Linked DNA regions of Nothobranchius furzeri. The protein of the gene in region 1 purifies or fractionates together with the protein of each later gene. This does not show direct contact. Links are inferred from orthologs where the notes say so. Each region holds a gene or a part of one and is shown in the gene's direction. Other genes may lie near its edges.

The links. Proteins that work in one complex are often made in the same cells at the same time.
Region 2: the proteins of rpa1 (region 1) and hltf purify together in Homo sapiens (affinity purification with mass spectrometry, with the first as the bait; 4 studies listed by BioGRID). This does not show direct contact. The link is inferred for Nothobranchius furzeri from reciprocal best matches to the Homo sapiens genes RPA1 and HLTF.

What each region holds. Positions count from the first base shown.
Region 1 is NC_091753.1:47,677,399-47,681,362, forward strand, and holds part of rpa1 (replication protein A 70 kDa DNA-binding subunit), read left to right. Parts: intron 1-817; coding exon 818-944; intron 945-2,903; coding exon 2,904-3,080; intron 3,081-3,964. UniProt on the Homo sapiens protein: As part of the heterotrimeric replication protein A complex (RPA/RP-A), binds and stabilizes single-stranded DNA intermediates that form during DNA replication or upon DNA stress.
Region 2 is NC_091758.1:23,578,344-23,582,307, reverse strand, and holds part of hltf (helicase-like transcription factor), read left to right. Parts: intron 1-2,793; coding exon 2,794-2,960; intron 2,961-3,040; coding exon 3,041-3,177; intron 3,178-3,251; coding exon 3,252-3,328; intron 3,329-3,439; coding exon 3,440-3,511; intron 3,512-3,601; coding exon 3,602-3,793; intron 3,794-3,865; coding exon 3,866-3,940; intron 3,941-3,964. UniProt on the Homo sapiens protein: Has both helicase and E3 ubiquitin ligase activities. Possesses intrinsic ATP-dependent nucleosome-remodeling activity; This activity may be required for transcriptional activation or repression of specific target promoters.

The sequences.
Region 1 (3,964 bases):
GTGTGTTTGAATGGGTGAATGACTGATTGTGTTGTAAAGCACCTTGGGGGGTTCCAAGACTCTCAAAGGTGCTATATCAAATACAGGCCATTTACCATTTTCATGTGACTCCAGGTGGTACGGCTTCTTAAAGGGACGTGAACGTCACCAACTGCCACACATCTTTTAATTTTTTTAATAATTGAATTTATTGTCATTAGAAGAAATTATATCGGTTAGTTAGAATTTTAGATAACGATGCATTTTCTATTAATCACCCAGCCCTAACTGCCCCCTGTCGCCAGGGAAAATGCACACTGTCACTTTAACATGCCGACTCATTGTTAAACCAATCAAATGTGAGTCCAGATTTCAGTTTACAAATTTTCATCATACGCCCGTCTAACTTCCTGAAGTGGATCTGGCAACCTTTGTTCCTCGTGTTGAGGTGTTTGTGCGTCAGTTTTGTTCACGGTAAGGTGAAGAAGCTGCACAAAGTGAACAAACCTCCTTTTAGCGTTGGCGCTTGAGGTTCTTTCACACATTTAAAACTTGACTTGTTACTTCACCCACTATGATTGCTTTGAAATGTCAAGTTGAACAGAACTGCCCAAGAACTGAAGCAGAAAGTCTTTTTATCTGATCTTGTTTTCTTTTATGCTCTGCTAATGAAATCCCTCTGCTTAGTTAAACCAGCAAAAGGATAAACTAGTTTCCTAACATTCCAGGTATCAACCAGTGCAACGCCTAACCGGTTACTTATCAGCCTGAACCGTGTAATTGTTCTACTTAAACTGAGCTCCTGTCAGCAGTCACCGACTGACTTGGATTTCTGCAGGTTTGACAAAGAAGGCCACGCCATGGATGGACAGTCTCTGACGGAGACGAAGGGCAGCGGAGGAGGAAGCACCAACTGGAAGACTTTGTCCGACGTGAAGAACGAGCATCTGGGACACGGAGAAAAGGTAGACGTGTGTCTCCTCGCCATGAAATATCAACATCATAGTGACTCCAGACATGATGCTATTCAAGCACGACTGAAGAGTTTTAAGAACAAACTGAAAGATTCTTAATGAATCGAGCGACTCGAGCAGGATCTGTTCTGACCGTGTGAGGGTCGTACGGGTGTTTAACGCTGCAGCTTTGGTTTTTTCTTCACTTCAGAAGAAAGGTTTTTAGCTCCGTGTCGGCGTGATGAATCTTTATAATCGATACCATATAATTTTTACTGCACCGCCTGGTAGATGTGCTTAAAAATCTGATTTGAGTAACATTTATCTCCCTCCGCTCATTAATCCCTCTGCATCGTTGGTGTCCTCGCACTGCGGTGGATGTTCACGCTGAAAGTCACATTTATCTCTGCTATTGATTATGAAGATTACATTGGGTCCATTCCTGCTTTCTGCAATGAAACAAGTAAAGCAATACATTTCCCTTCATTTCCCTTTTAAAAAGATGTTCTTACAGGTTTGTAGAAAGTTTCTTGTTCAAATGTGACCTTTGCAAAGTTTCTAGTAATTAACCATGGACTTCATATTAATGTCCTCATGACATAGAAAATATTAGAAATAAAGTGCATGAATTTAAGAAAAGAAAAACACAAAATATTTGTTTTGATGAACAAATTTACACACACACACACACACACACACACACAGTATTTGACTTATTGAATTTACGTGAGCTTTTTTTGTAATCTATTACTTCTCAAGTTTTTCTTCATCCATCCAAAAGCAACTTTTTACTTTAAGGTCTGGCCATGATGCCAACAAAAAGTTTTGGGGCTTTTTATTGATGGTCATCAAACCGCCAGCCTTTATTTGAGCTACCGGCACAACAAAGCAGGCAGGCTGCTTACCCGGACCACTAAAGTAGTTTAGTGCCGTTTCTGGTTAGCAGAGGGCTGCTGAGTGCTGTCCAGTGGGAATCTGCTCACGTTTCTGGCTGAAGAACCACTAAAACCATTTTGAAAGCAATAGCTTAAAGTGTCAAACTCTTCAGTGTTGCTTACATAAAATTTGGACGGATCAACAATTGTTGGGGGTTACACAAAGACCTTCGTTCTTTCTCAGTGTGATGTGATGAGACCTGATTGTGGCAAAGGGGCTCTCCTCAAATGCCTCACACAAATGGTGTGAGCAGGAGTAGAAGAGAGGGTCAGCCTTCTTAAGACCCCGCCAGCTAGATCTGTCTTTGTGTGTCCACGACGCCGTGTCCTTTTCTGAGAGTAAGCAGGAACCTTCTCCTGACACCACTTGTAAGAGTCGGTCACGACATGAAGAACAGAGTTTTCCTCTCCTTCCTCCTCTCACCGGTCAGCGTCGCACTAATTAGACATTTACTGAAAAGGCAGTGACGGGTGACATCTGGATGGGCGTTTTTGTCGTGTGCGCTCAAGTTATTTATCTAATCACCGCAGGCGTTTTACGACGGGAGGCACTAAGGTGGCGTGCCCGCGGTGTAAGCTGGAACAAGTGCCTTTTATCTTTTATCAAAGTGTGCACTGGCCCAGATTCCCTTCTGTTGGAGGATTTCTCCAGGGATTTGCAAAACGTAGGACAAAGTCATGCAGATGTCAGGGTGCAACATGGATTTGTTGTGATGCGACGGGTTTGCTTACATCTTTCTATTAAAGTGCGTTAAAACCTTTCTGTAGCCGACGGTTTCAGTCCTGTTCACGCTGCCTGCTTTGCTGTTGCTTATTCCTGGTTGATGATCTAGAATGCGAAGCTCGCGTCCTGCCCGCTAGTCGGCAGACTCTTGTTGGTAGTTTAACCGTAATCGGAACGTTTTATTTATTTATTTTCTTTCTGAATTCTCCTTTTCTTAATATAATGTTGGTGCAGTTTTGTCGACATGTTCCCCACACAACATAAAGGTCATGAAGACCGTCTTGAACATCTGCTGATGTTGTTTTCATCCAGGCCGACTACTACACCTGCATAGCCACCGTGGTGTTTCTGCGGAAGGAGAACTGCCTTTATCAGGCCTGCCCGACCCAAGACTGCAACAAAAAAGTGGTCGACCAGCACAACGGCATGTTCCGCTGTGAGAAGTGCGATAAAGACTTCCCCAACTTCAAGTACCGCCTCATCCTGTCTGTAAGTGACTTAGCAGTCTTTTCCCCGCGTTCTCCATGTGCTTTAGGGAGGCTGTGTTGTCTCCCCCAGGACTTTGTCCTTCAAGCTGAGACCCCCCAATATGGTGCTCTTTGTTTTAAAACCAGATTGAAATGTGGATTTCATGTCTGACACTTTGTAAATAAGGACAAACTTAAAGAGCAAGTCACCCCAACCAGATTCTTAATCAACTCTCACTTCCTGTTTGAAAAATGCAACAAATGCTGTTGCCTAGCAGACAGAGAGGGCGGAGCCGCTAACAAATACACACACACACAGGCTCACAACGGCATTGTGACATCAAAATGTATCAGTTTCCATCATAGCATACCTCTTAGCCAACAGCGGTGGCAGATTTAAATTCCAATGCAGTGCAGAGTTTTTACCCGACGACGGTGCAACACTGACAGTTTTAGGCAGAATATTTAAATTTTAACTAAAATGCACTGAAGTACCAAATTATTGACCACACATGTCTGCAGCACAATTAGACACACATTTATATAGTTTATCAGCAAAAAAAAAAGTTGATTTGGGGGTGACTTGCTCTTTAAGATTGCTTTAAGGCATTGTTGGGTTAAAGAGCGCAGAAGAACACAAAGCCGTTTCCAGAAACCTCCACTCAAATAACCTTTTATTAACAACAATCTCAGTAGCAAAACCATAAAAGCCAGTAGCTTTTGTTTAGTGCCTCTCACCATGTGACATATTGTTCCTTACAAGCTGAAAAATAAGCTGTGAAGCTGCTTCCACTGTGTGTGTGCGTGTGTGTGTGTGCGTGTGTGTGTGTGTGTGTGTGTGTGTGTGTGTGTGTGTGTGTGTGTGTGTGTGTGTGTGTGTGTGTGTGTGTGTGGGGCAACCGTGCT
Region 2 (3,964 bases), on another chromosome or scaffold:
CTGTCTCAAGTTCAGAGCGGGACAGAATGGGACTCAGCTTAGCAATGTTCCTGAGATGGAAGAAGGAAGAGCGAACAAGAGAACTGACATAAGGATCCAGGGTGAGAGCTGGGTCAAAGGTCACGGCAAGATTCCTGACAGAAGGTTTGGTGTGGGAAGCAAGCTGACCAAGAGAGTCTCTGACTTTGGGAACCAGCTTGTCTGGGGCACAGATGAGGATCTCAGTCGTATCTTCATTCAGCTGAAGAAAGCTCCCAGCCATCCAGGTTTTGATAGAGTCTAAGCAGGTGTGTAACAGCTGCAGCTGAGATGTCTCATGGGGCTTAAAGGAGATGTACAGTTGGATGTCATCTGCATAAGGATGGTAGGAGATTACTTTGAAGGAGCTCAGGATGTGCTGAAGAGGAAGCAGATAGAGGAGGAAGAGCAGAGGCCCCAGCACATAACCTTGTGGGACACCATGGGTAAGAGAGGTGGTGGAGGACCTAAAGTTGGAGACGGCCACAGAAAAGGAACGCTCAGAAAGATAAGAGGAGAACCACTCCAGAGCAGTTCCTGATAGGCCTACCTAGTCTCTCAGCCTCTCCAGTAGCAGGTGATAGTCAACAGTGTCAAAGGCTGCAGTCAGGTCCAGCAGGACCAGAACAGAACAGTCCCCTGCATCACTGTGAGTCAGAAGGTCATTCGAGACCCTAAGAAGAGCTTTTTCAGTAGAATGAGCTCTACAAAAACCTGACTGGAAGCTATCATAGGTGTTATGTTCATCAAGAGCAGCTGTGAGTTGTTTAGCCACAACCTTTTCCAAGATCTTGGAGATGAACAGAAGTTTAGGTGGTGGATGTGAACAGGGCAGTAGAAGATAATGATGTCATTAGCTAGTCTGTTGTTGCTTTGTGTTTGTAGTTGGTGATCTCTCTGGGAGACCCCAGAGTCGTTAGCTGTGAATGGTAAATGATAATGATAATTGACCACTTGAATAGCGCCTCTCAGAGTAAGGACTCCAAAGCGCTTTACACTACAGTGTATCATTCATTCATTCATTCATTCATTCACACACACACACACACATTCTCACACTGATGGTGATGAGCTACGATGTAGCCACAGCTGCCCTTGGGCCCACTGACAGAGGCGATGGTTAGTGGTTTAGCCTGACTCTACAAGTCATCATCCCCCCACTCTTGAACGTCTCCTCAGTCTGTTGAGCTGCTTGAACTCTGATGTGAACCTGAGGCCTTGTCGTCAAATGTTCGCAGAAATAATACTATATTCCTTCCTACGAACGAAATTTAGGGTGGTGGTGCGAACGAGCAAAATCCTGATTTATGAGACATGCAGTGACCATTCGTGTGCATGTTCCTCCATAATCAGCTGTTAATAAATCCCACCTGTGATATCCAGATGCTCGTGTCCTTTCACTGTCATTTACATACAGAAACACACTCAATTCACCATATTTGGTCACACTACGTCCTCAGCATGTGAGGGGAATCCCTGCATTCCTCCTGGAAAAAAAGCTTGACTGACAGCGAGATCGAGGCACCGGCTGCTGAAGTGCGAGAGAACCAAACAGGTGGCAGAGGTTGTAAACGCAGAGGAGAGGTCTGTCAGGAATAAATGAAAATGGTTCCACATCAATTGAATATGATAAATCATAGCGTAACTAATTGTCATTTACATTTAAGAAGTCATTCTGTTTGTAGTTAATTTTATTTGGAAATGTCTGACACTGCAGCCTCTTCTGAGCTGTCTGTCATTCAGTTTGGTTATCTTGGCAACAAGTGCACGATTGGGGAGCAGAGAAGGTTCTGGAGGGTTTTCGTAGTTGTAAAATAGAGTATGGGCTGGAATCGGATTTGCGCGGTTTGTCTGTCGCTCCACACAGGGTCCCAAATTAAAAGCATAGATCATAGATCAGTGCGCTCATGGAGGATGTGTTCCCTCCAGAGTGGACGTTCTGCCAAATCCTCTGATAACACAAGATCAGCCCTTTTACAATGTCGGGTTTCCGTCGGTCACAGATGTCTTTTAAATGTTTTGGCATCAGTTATGTGACAATGCTCTTTTTCCACTGAAATAATTACTGCTTAAAATAGTTTGTGGATGAGGAACACGTGTGGACGGTTTCCCAGTTCTAGCACTAGATGCTGTTTGTACACACGGTCTGAGATTTTGTTCTATGTAGAAACATTTTCACGCACACGTACAAAATGATGAATACCACACAATGCGTAAATTAGTTGCTACGCATGACATGTGTACAGATCGGTGCGTAAGTACGGTTGATAAGTGAGGACTCAGGATGCAGCAGTCTTCACTGTCGGCTTGCTGAGCTCCAGCTTCTGCCTGTGTGAGAGGATCAGCTGGATCATCAGGTGGTCTGAGGAGATTCTTAAATAAGAATCCAAGATGACACATGTCTTCTCCTTTGGCAGACCTCCTAGATGTAGTTCACAAGTGCTGCAAATTCCTCAAACTCACTGTCCCTGTGTTGCATCGTGTTGCATCGTGATCTGGTTTCATCATGTTTGCTTCCCCTGAAGTCTGAGCTGCAGCCAGGTGTCTCTTGAAAGACTGGAGCTGTCAGTTCCATGAAAGTCCTTTTGGTGTTTTGATCTCAACCAAATAAACAGCTGAACTTCTGTCCTGATGAATTTTCTCTATTGAAACAATGAAAAGTGGGACATTTTTAGTGGTTATTAGTTATAGTTTAGTGACTTTGTGATAACATCTCGAGACATTTGGTAAAATGTTCAGAGACCCTCATTAACCGATCTGCTCTGCTCTGGGCAGGTGAACCGAGGAGAGATGGTGGGTTTAGTGCGGGAGCCTCAGAATCCGTATGACAGTAACGCGGTGAAGGTCACAAACATCTATGGAAACCAGGTTGGACACATCAAAAAGGAGCTGGCTGCAGCTATGGCCTATATGATGGACAGAAGCTTGGCTAAAGTCGAAGGGTGAGCTCTGATTACTTCAGAATAAGATTTCTTAAAGGATCCCACATGAAAACCAGTAACTATGAAACACTCATTGCTAGGGTGGTGCACACAGGTGTGAACAACCCCTTCTCTATGCCAGTTATGCTGTCATTCTGGGGGAAGGAAGAGGACAGGAACACTGTAATGAAGCACATGGCGAGTCGAGGGTATAAACTTAATCCAGGCTCGCCAACCGGTGAGCTCCCATTTTCTTTCATTGCATCTTTTTAATCAACACCTTTATTATCACTCACTTTTGTTTGTTTTCAGGTGGAAGCCTGGCTTTGTATGGCACCTCGGCCTCCTCATACAAGAAGGGTGTGACCGTCCCACTGACAGCAGAGGAGGTCATTAAATCTGAGCCAGTTTCTTCCAGAGATACAGATAATATTGTTTATACTTGAATTAATTTGATTCTGAAAATTCTTAAACATTTTCCATTTGTTTTTATCCTCCAGCTTAAGAACGCGTTTGATAACTTGTTTGACGGTTTGATGGAGAGTAAAGATGGAGAGAAAGAAGCAGTTGAGGTAAATATGATCTTATTTGATGAATTCTCTTAATTATACTACACCTTTTTGTTTTTTTTTACAAAAATTCTTCTTCTTTTTTCCCTTCAGTCTGTGGCCACCGCCCTCCTGCCTCATCAGAAACAAGCTCTGTCCTGGATGTGCGCTCGGGAAAACAAAGACGCGCTGCCGCCGTGCTGGGAGAAGAGAGGCGAGCTGTACTACAACAGCCTCACCTGCTTCTCTGCTAAAGAACCACCGGGGAGGGTTCGGGGGGGCATTCTGGCCGACGATATGGGACTGGTGCGTTACACACGATACACAACTTTTATTTATTAGGAATTTTTTTTATTCATAAGAAAACGTGCTTTTCAGGGTAAAACGTTGACAACAATCGCTTTGATCCTCACCAACTTCCACAAGGGAAAACCGCTGCCTGTGGAGAAATGTGTAAGCAGCCATCTTTTTTTCCTG